Linked DNA regions of Drosophila melanogaster. The protein of the gene in region 1 binds, or shares a complex with, the protein of each later gene. Each region holds a gene or a part of one and is shown on either strand. Other genes may lie near its edges.

Region 1 (4,900 bases):
CCAGTTTTCGAGTAATGCTATGCCACAGATCAATATACAAATCAAATTGAATGAAATACTTATGCAAAAATAGTTTATATTTACCTTTAAAATAAAGTCAGCTACCGCCGTAACCAGCAGCACATCCTTGGAGCGAATGGCCCATTCCAGGGCGTTTCCATAACGCTCGTTATCGTAGGATCGCTTTGAAAGCACCTTGCAGATCTCCCGTTCTACGCTTATGAGCCCGCGCTGCCTGGCCAGGTTAATAAGCTTGGTGGCTTGCCGCTCGCTGCGCAAAGTGATTCGGGGCAAAAGCAGCTCGATAGCCGCCTGACCCTCCTGCTTGCAACAGTCCAGATAGTCGATGCCCAGTTGCCACATATTGTGGGACGTCATCAGATAGCTGCCGTACTCATAGATCATTGAGTGACGCAGGGCCGGAAGATCGCTGTGGGTGCATAAAATATATAGCATATTGATTGAACATAACTTCTGACAAAAAAACTCACATGTTGTTCTGATCGAAATAGCTCTTCAGCTGACCACAATGATGGATAAGATCAATCAAATGCGTTGAGAACCAGTGTGTGTCGTTAAGTTTTTGAGCATCGTATATAAATAGTCTAAGATCGTGATCCATAAGCTGAGAAACCATGCGGTTCATGCTGCACTGCTCTCTTTCCGGCCGGAGAAGACACCATCGGTTTAGCCATTTGGCTGCCGCTATTTTCAGCTCAAAGGGTTTGCAGGTGGGCTTGGTAAAGAGCAGGTATCCTGGCAGGTATTCATAGAAATCCTGGGACTCTTTGATGCCAGCATCCCACTGCTCGCTGTCGCCGGCGACCAGACGAATCAACTGCTCCAGCTCCGGCTCCGTGGCAAATAAGCCGGACTGAATCTTGCGTTCCGTATCCACGTGCCAGAACTCCCACTGCGAGTGAAACTTCTGCAGGGCATAGCCCTCTTGATACACTGGCATGGACTTCAGGATCTGTTCGGCCGCCTTGAAGCTCGTTTGTCCAGCTTTGCGATTCTGCGAGAGAACTGCTCTCGTAACATCTATTTCGCCCAGCATAATGAGTGATTTGACAATGCTCCAATAGTCATCAGATTCGCTGGCCTCCTCTCCCATGAGCAGTAGATCCGTGGCTCTGTCCTCTGCGTGCGGCGAGTGGAAACGCGCCCAGTCGAGCAGCTGCGGCACCACCAGCTGATTGCTCTGAATGTACAGAATCTCGAAGAGATGCCACAGGCATTCTGCCGCATAGAACACAACGATGGCATCACATAAGCGTTGCAGGCGCGCCTCATCTGTCTGAACCTCCGGCGATTTTTTTGCCTGCTCCAGCTTCTCCAGGCATGAGCGCACAATGCTCCTGTATGCCCGGGATATATTCACATACTCGGCACGTGTGGCCCGCGAACCCAACTGTTGCAGCGTGGCGAACGTGGCATTCGCCTCGGCGAGTACGCTGCGGAGAACGGGTTCGTCGAACAGCGTCGACTCCTGCGCCATGTAGATGAGCACCGGAACCTGTCCAGCATTCTCTGTGGGCTCATCCCGCGAACTGTGCGTCACATGCCGGTAGGCGCTGAGTGCGATTCGTGAGCCCGGCACAAAGACGCCAGTGAGTGTATTGCCACAGCGTGTGGCTAGGTCATCGCCAAGCTCCTAGATAGATTAAACGAGGTTTAATCTATTGAGTTTTTTATTTGTGCAGCTACTTACGAAGGCGAAAACACCGCTGTCGCTCATGTTGGCTTTATGTTTTTCTTCTTTATAAATTCTAAACGATTCGTTGCTTGTTATCGATAAGCAGAGGCGGCATTTGCCTGGCTCTATCGGTCTATCGTACTTCGATAGCAGGTTGTGCATCTACTACTTTTCCCTTTAGTATATTAATCGAATTAAGAGAATGTGAGGGCATTACTTTGGTATTATTACGTGTTGTCGGTAAGGTCCTATTGATTCTGACGCTGGAAATTCGATTCGTGTTTTTTATGATGGATTTGTCGCCAAACAATCAGATCGAGGACAGAAAACCCATCCTAACCGCCGACGGCCTGGTTCAGACTTCGAACTCCCCCTTCGAGCCGACCATATCGCAGGAGACGCAAACATCCAACGGAATCGGCGGCCAGTGCCATCTGACGGTTGACCAGTTGGACATTGAGATTCTGCCGATAATCTACGACATTGTGCGCTGGTGAGTGGTCATCGCGGATGCGGATTCCGGGTGTCATTGCCCCTGCACGGACAATGCCGAAAATCGGCGGATTTTAGCAACAAGTGCGCAATTAATGCCGCACCTTATATAACCTGGCGTCTTTGTGTCTTTCAGCGTGGAAAAGGATCCTCTGGAGAACGCCGTTAAGCTGCGCGAGTCCCAGGATTGCAACCACAAGGTGAGTCCTTGGTTCGTCATAAGTTGCCACCGCTATATACTTGATTTGTAGATCTTTGAACTTCAAAAACGCTTCGAATCGGCACGCGAGCAAATCCGCCAGCTCCCCGGGATCGATTTCAATAAGGAGGAGCAGCAACAGAGACTGGAACTACTGCGAAATCAGCTGAAGCTTAAGCAGCAGCTAATTCGCAAATACAAGGACACAGAGTTCTAGGCGGCAGCAAAATAAAAAAAAGGGCAAGATGGTGCTGCGACTGCTAATGCGCTACCTGGCCAACAACGAGCAGCTCATCCAGCGCATGGCGGAGAGCTATCCCATGAGACGCGCTGCCCAGTTGGTCGTTTCCCTGATGTACCGCACAAAAGACTTGGCCCGGGAGCAGGGACTGCACGAGATGACGCCAGAGCGTTTCAAGTGAGTGAAAGAATCGCCAGAATCATCTGGCTGAATCCGCCAATCTGACATGCATTTTCCAAATTGTAGATCCTTCGTTAACATGTTTAAGAACAACGTGCGCCAAGAGCTGGAGGGAGTGAAGAAGGAGCTTAATAGCAAGAAAAAGAACTAGGGTTCAGTAATTAACTTGTTTAACTACAATTGTATATACGCGGCAAGATAAATTTTAGTAAACACAGATGAATAAACATTGAAGCCAGAACATTATCTTCGGTGAATGAACCTTATTTTTGTAGAATAGGAAATTGCTTTTATTAAGGTAATTAGGAAACAAAGAAATCCTTATTCATTGCCATTTTATCTTAACACTTAAAAACAAAAGAGAACTTCAGATTGTCATTCTGAAACTATCGTTTTACAAAAAAATCAAATAATAACCTAATGTCTGCATTTACAACGCTTTCAACGTAATTTGCGTCAGCAAATTTGTTTTCATTTTCAGTTTGCATAGACATTAAACTCATCTTAAACTATAAGATTTTAATTTAAGATTCCAATTTATAAAGTCGTGTCTATTTAAGTTTATCGAGAGATAATTTAATATCATGTACACAAGTAGCATCTGGTTCAACCTGCGTTTATTCAGTGAAAAGACAAATGAAATCCATGCTGCAGTGACGTCGGTTGTCTTAAGTCTAGTGAACAAACAAAATATAGAATTTGGTTTGGCATATAGCACAATGTACAGTGGACAAGAACGGGACACGAAATAGTTTATTGGGGCACATGCCACTTTAGATTAGAAGGTCGCAAAATAAATTCATCCAATTATCTTTAAGAATTTGAAAAAAAAATACTTTAGTTTACAAAACTAGAAAGAGCCAAAACATGCAGGCGGCGCACTTCACTCGGTGAGAGCGGCCGGTGTGACTTCAACCGAGGACGACGACGAAGGATTCTCGCCGAGGGGCAGACCCAAAGAGGCCGAGCCATTGGATGGATCCACCCCAACGCCGCCGGACGGAGTCGGGCGATTATTTCTTTTCCGCTTGCCACCTCGCCGGCTGCCACCCTCGCGCTTGTCGCCGTTCTGCTTCTCGTCGGCGTTGTCCTTGCTGCATCCGGCGCCCGAGGAGCTGCCCTGGCCCTGCTGGCGGTGCTGGTTGTTACTGCCGTTGCTGCCGCCGTTATGTGAGCGCGACTGCATCTTGGCGGGCTTGGGGCGATATGGGCTAGCGGCAGCATTCGGTAGCGGACGCAGTATATTGCCAACAGCCTTGGTGCGTCCCTCGCGAAAGACCAGGCGCTGACCGGCGCGTATGTACTCCGGCTGCTTGATGAACCGGAATTTCACATGTGCCTTGTCGCCTGTTCGCAGGCAGTCGCGCGACATGTGTATGATTGAGGCCGTCTGGCGGATGCTGCCGCAGTGGACCATGGCCTGGTAGCGCGCCGATATCGTCGTCGGATGGTGGAGCACTAGTATCTCTCCCTCGAACTCCCAGCAGGCTTGCGGTTTGAGATCCTGCGACACCATTACCATGCCCTTGCGCAGATAGGCGCGCTTTATTTTCTTTAACGCAAAGCTTGCTGTTTGGCCACAGCGCACGCGTGCCACGTTCATGCGCTTGCGATGGATGCTCTTGATGGTGATGGGCACAAATGAACCCACCGCGTCTGGACCAAGCATCAGGCAGTCATTTAGCCGAATAGTGCCCTGAAGGCATGTACCGGACACAACAGTTCCCACACCCGGCACCGCGTACACATCGTCGATTTGAAACTCGGCCGGCAGACTCTCGGAGCCGGGCATTCGCGTGCTGAGAAGGTTGAGGAACATTTTGAGCAGCTCCAGGTTGTCACCGGTCACATTCGACACCTGGAAGATGGGGCACAGACGCTCGCTAACGAAATTCGTAGCGCTTAGGACAACGTCGTCGTGCGAACGCACCACAACCGGCACCTTGCGGCAGCCCTGGGATTTGAGCATCTTAAAGAGCAGCTTCATGTTCTCCTGCAGCACGTTGGCCGGGCACATGTCAATCTTAGTGACCACCACGAAAACGGGCACGGCTAGAGCCAAGGCCAGACCAAGATGTTCCTTAGTCATGCC
Region 2 (4,250 bases), on another chromosome or scaffold:
GTTCTCGCCGTACTTTTCTAAAATGAGCGATTGCAGGCCGCTGAACGTTAGCTGCTCCGTGTTGCTGTCGCTTTGGTCCGACCTGCGCAGAATGGACAGTTGCATCCACAGGAAGTCGTCGATGCTGCGCATTAGTTCTACGTGAGTGAAGTGCGGATCACACGCCAACAATACGACGTATACCTAATGGAAAAGAGAAAAACATATGATTAGCACGAATATACGCAACAAGTTGTAGCAAAAGATGAGCACTCACCGCCTTTTTGTAGGGATCCGTACAGGCGCGCAGTCTACTGTTGTACTCCAACTTTAGCTGACCCTCAAGCTTTACCATCAAGTTGTCCCTATCGCCGTTCTTTCGCAACGTCAATAGCGTAAGCAGGTCGGGGCAGGTTCCCGATTCCTTGAGATACAACGCAGCCGCGTCCATATCGCCACTCCGCAAGCTATAGTAAACATGTGGCCACAATGGCTGGCCATTGTTCACGTCATGCAGCCCGTAGAGGGCTCGCTGCCCCTGGAGAGTAACGCCCACATAGGAGCGGACCATATGGTACACGCTGGGGATTCCTCCCCGCCGCGCTTTGGCCAAATTCGCGACGATAAACTTTCTCATATACGTCCTATATCTGCGCTCCAAGTACGTGCGGGCCTGCTCAACGAATTGCGGTGATGTCTGACGATTCTTGATTGGATCGATGGTGCTCGAGACTGGCGGCAACGCGGTCATAAACTGCAATACATTCCACATCTCGGCTACGGACTCATCGTTGAAGGAGTCTTGGACCACGTGGGCAAGGGTCGACAGCAAGTTAGGGCGTCTGCCCAGGATGATCGACTGGTTGTGGATGGCGATCTGTTCAGCGTACATCTGCTCATGGCCATTCAGTTGGGAGTACGGAGTGGGCTCATCAGCCATGGCCGTGGGCACTATCTGAAACTGGACGTCGGGGAAGTCCTGTTGGTTTGGTCCGACCAGAGCGTTTAGCAGCGCTTCCTTCTCCTCGCCCCACTCCGAGTAGATGCAACGCCACTTCTGTCGCTCCACAGATTTAAATATCTGCAATGGATTGGTTAATGGAGATAGAAAGTTCAGAATTTTGGGTGTCTGCCTGAAGCATGTCATTTGGCGCACTCACACTGCGATTCGTCTCATCGATAACTGAGAGTATGGCGTTCTCCCGCTCGTTCTTCAGATAGGCCTGCACATTGGTCTCCGTCACCGGATCAATCGGCTCGAAGGTTTGGCGGGCGCTGAGCGACTCCAGCTTCTGTGTAAGCTTGGGCAGGTCCACGCCCTTAGAGCCGAGCAGTATGTGGCTGCATTTGAATGACCGGTTAATATGACAATTTTTGGCGCCTGGCCTATAGCGAACTACTCACGCCTGCAGATCATTGGTGCCCATTTGGGTGACACGCGAGTGAAACTCCTTGGTTGCCTGCAGAACCTGGGACATGGTCCGTTCCACGCCCGGCACCTCCGTGTCCGTATTGGTCTCGTTCGTCAGGCGCTGGGCCTGCTTCAGCAGTTCCATCAGATCCATGTCGTGATATTGGGATGGAAAAGCCGGTGCCAATAAAATGATATTTCCAACGAAGCGCACACCAAGCTGCTAGTGCTGCCACCTGGTCGCAGTCCGGATTATTTCGGCGCCATAAAATGTTTGCAATCGGTGGTATTCTTTTTGGTATATTTAATAGTACAACTGTTATATGTTAGAATAACTATAATAATGTCTACAGATGGTATATAATTTAAAAGGAATATTTGATAATTAAAATCATTAAATTGAAAAATTTATATAGATAGCAGACTAAGAAATTATTTCTCAATACCTAAAAGTTGTTATAAAAACAAAGAAAATAGTCGATTTCCCCGAACGCGAAATTTCAAAATTTTTATGGAATATCGATATATTGGGGAATAAATTGAGAACAAATGGGAGTTTTGTAGGTATAAGGTATTTTTGGTATTACGCAATCTGTTATTGAAATGTCCCAATAACAACTGTTATTGAGAGGGAGTTGTAAGTACAACTTTAAAAACATTTGGTATTAGCTTGGTATTTATAGGCCGGCCGAAAGGCAGGACCGTCTGGTAACACTGAACAGCAGGCGTTAGTGTATTTCGCGCAGTGCAGATTGGTTTATTCAGCGGCTAACCAATTCAATCGTGAATAGACTTTAGCAGCGCGCAAATCGTAGAACAGAACGGCATATTTTTTTTAAACACTGCGAGGCGAGCTTCTTCTTCCCTCCGTCTCTCTGTGTGTGTGTGAGTGTGCTGCCTGTGTGTGTTACAGCTTGTGTACGTGAGTGTGTGTATTGGCAAAGGAAATTAGCACAACAAAAGCGAAAAGGAAACGAACACGCACGCACCTCGTCACGCGGATAAAGAAAAAAACTCTTCGATCTGATCAGAGATATCGAGAATAAACGATAAAAATAATAACAATATCGCAATGTCGGAAGTTGAATCGCAGCAGAGCCAGGAGACGAACGGCAGCAGTAAATTCGATGTGCCCGAGATAGAATTGATCATAAAGGTGAGCGAACAGCGACATTTGCATACCCCTGCAGTTTTCCATTTCGCTCTGCGCAAATTTCCGTGCAGAGTGAAAATGCAGCCGGGGCAAAAGCAGAAGCAAATGCAAACAAAGGCAAAAACAAGAAGCGACTGGGAAAACGCGAACTGCCGTTTGTTTCTCCTCCTCCTCCCTCTTTTCGGCTTCTTACCCCTGTTCGTTCTTCGTTGTCTTCTTCTTCTTCTTCTCACTGTGGCACTTTGCAGTGTGTCACATTTGGTTAAAACGAACAGAATACGTTTAGCACACACCGCCCCCTCCCCTCTCGCCGACGTTCCCCTTTCGCCTTGCGGTTCCTAAGCATCGCCAAAACCGGTTTTCTCCTTTTCTCCCTATCGCACATTCACACACACATACACACACACATACACACACACGCACGCACACTATCGCATACACATGCATTCGGGCACATCTGCACAGAACGAAATTGTTGATTGAGTTATGATTTTCAGAACTCCATGATTACCATTATAAAGCATCCAAATTAAATATTACAGCATACCTTTTTGGTGCAATACTCTAAAGCCGCCCTTTTTCCAAATTATCCGAGCATACCAAGCTGTTCATATGAAATATCTTTTTAATATTTTATAATTAACAATTAATCATGATATTGCTGTGTGCGCACAGTCTGAAATTTGTGGAACGTAACATATTACTTCGGTTCTTATCTGCTAAAAAATTTAATCACATTTCATTGCGCCAATTGCTCAACAAATGCTCCTTCATCATAGTTCTCCTAAGCCCCCCGCATCGCCCCCCTTCGCAACCATCAGCATGTTTCTCTCTGTGTGTGTGTGTGTGAATTAGAGGTTCTTTTTTATCTTTTAGTGATTTCTAAATTTCTTGACACATACGTCATGCTCCTCCAAAGAATCGAAGAAAACAAAAAGCTAGCACTCCGCACATTTGCGGTCAAGATAATAGCATTGAGAAGCCAAGATTCCTAAAGTGTGATTAATTAAATGAATTTAAATCATAGAACTTAACTTTAGATTGCTCAATATGTAGTGTTTTATTTCTTTATGTATTACAAATAATCGATAATAAAAACTTGTTCGATTTTTTCTCCTCGAATACAACGCTTTTCTTATCAGTTCTGTTCTTCGATAGTGGAAAAAAAAACATGTGATAAAACAATTGTTCATTGGCATCTTTCTTAAAGGTGATATTATTGCAAAATGAGTCAAAGAAAGATTACGAACCCTTTGGTTTTTTTTTTTGTATTATAGTAGAGGCCGCAATCTATTTCTTTCCCCGGAATTGTAAGTCGAGCATGAGTCCACTTAATTTTGTTTCTTTTGTTGGTTCCCACTGTTTGCCGAAGTAATTGTAATTGTTTTCGGAACACTTTGGAGCCCTGCTGTTGTTGATTCTATTGGCAAACTCGACTCGACTCAACTTGGCCACTCATCCAGCCCACGCAAATGGAGACCGCACCTCGAGTCGTCTGCCCATGAGTAATTTCCCTCACCTTTGCATTGCCTAAACCCAAACAGTACAATATACCATGTGTTATACCATTCGATTCCCGAAAGAAAAAGAAAAAAAAAACCCCACTCGACGCTAAACAACTGACATGAGCAATCGTGTACTTCGAATAGGGTTTCGTAACCAGTTTTGTTTCCAAATTAAACAGCAATACGATATGTAATGGCTGAA

The links. The genes of interacting proteins can lie anywhere in the genome.
Region 2: Nup75 (region 1) and Nup93-1 share a complex: the UniProt entries of both Drosophila melanogaster proteins name them as parts of the nuclear pore complex.

What each region holds. Positions count from the first base shown.
Region 1 is NT_033778.4:18,165,334-18,170,233, forward strand, and holds the start of Nup75 (nucleoporin 75kD), read right to left. Parts: upstream 1,808-4,900; 5' UTR 1,739-1,807; coding exon 1,712-1,738; intron 1,655-1,711; coding exon 492-1,654; intron 431-491; coding exon 85-430; intron 18-84; coding exon 1-17. Other genes in the region: MED9 (mediator complex subunit 9), read left to right, coding at 1,984-2,189, 2,325-2,388, 2,440-2,604; CG42518 (uncharacterized protein), read left to right, coding at 2,633-2,805, 2,875-2,959; Dgp-1, read right to left, coding at 3,692-4,900. UniProt on the Drosophila melanogaster protein: Component of the nuclear pore complex (NPC) that seems to be required for NPC assembly and maintenance. Required for nuclear import of phosphorylated Mad via importin msk.
Region 2 is NC_004354.4:13,820,221-13,824,470, reverse strand, and holds the start of Nup93-1 (nucleoporin 93kD-1), read right to left. Parts: upstream 1,646-4,250; 5' UTR 1,545-1,645; coding exon 1,384-1,544; intron 1,321-1,383; coding exon 1,140-1,320; intron 1,061-1,139; coding exon 257-1,060; intron 184-256; coding exon 1-183. Other genes in the region: Clic (chloride intracellular channel), read left to right, coding at 2,463-2,546. UniProt on the Drosophila melanogaster protein: Required for nuclear pore complex assembly, maintenance and function. Required for nuclear import of phosphorylated Mad via importin msk. Has no role in classical nuclear localization signal (cNLS)-dependent nuclear import via importin-beta.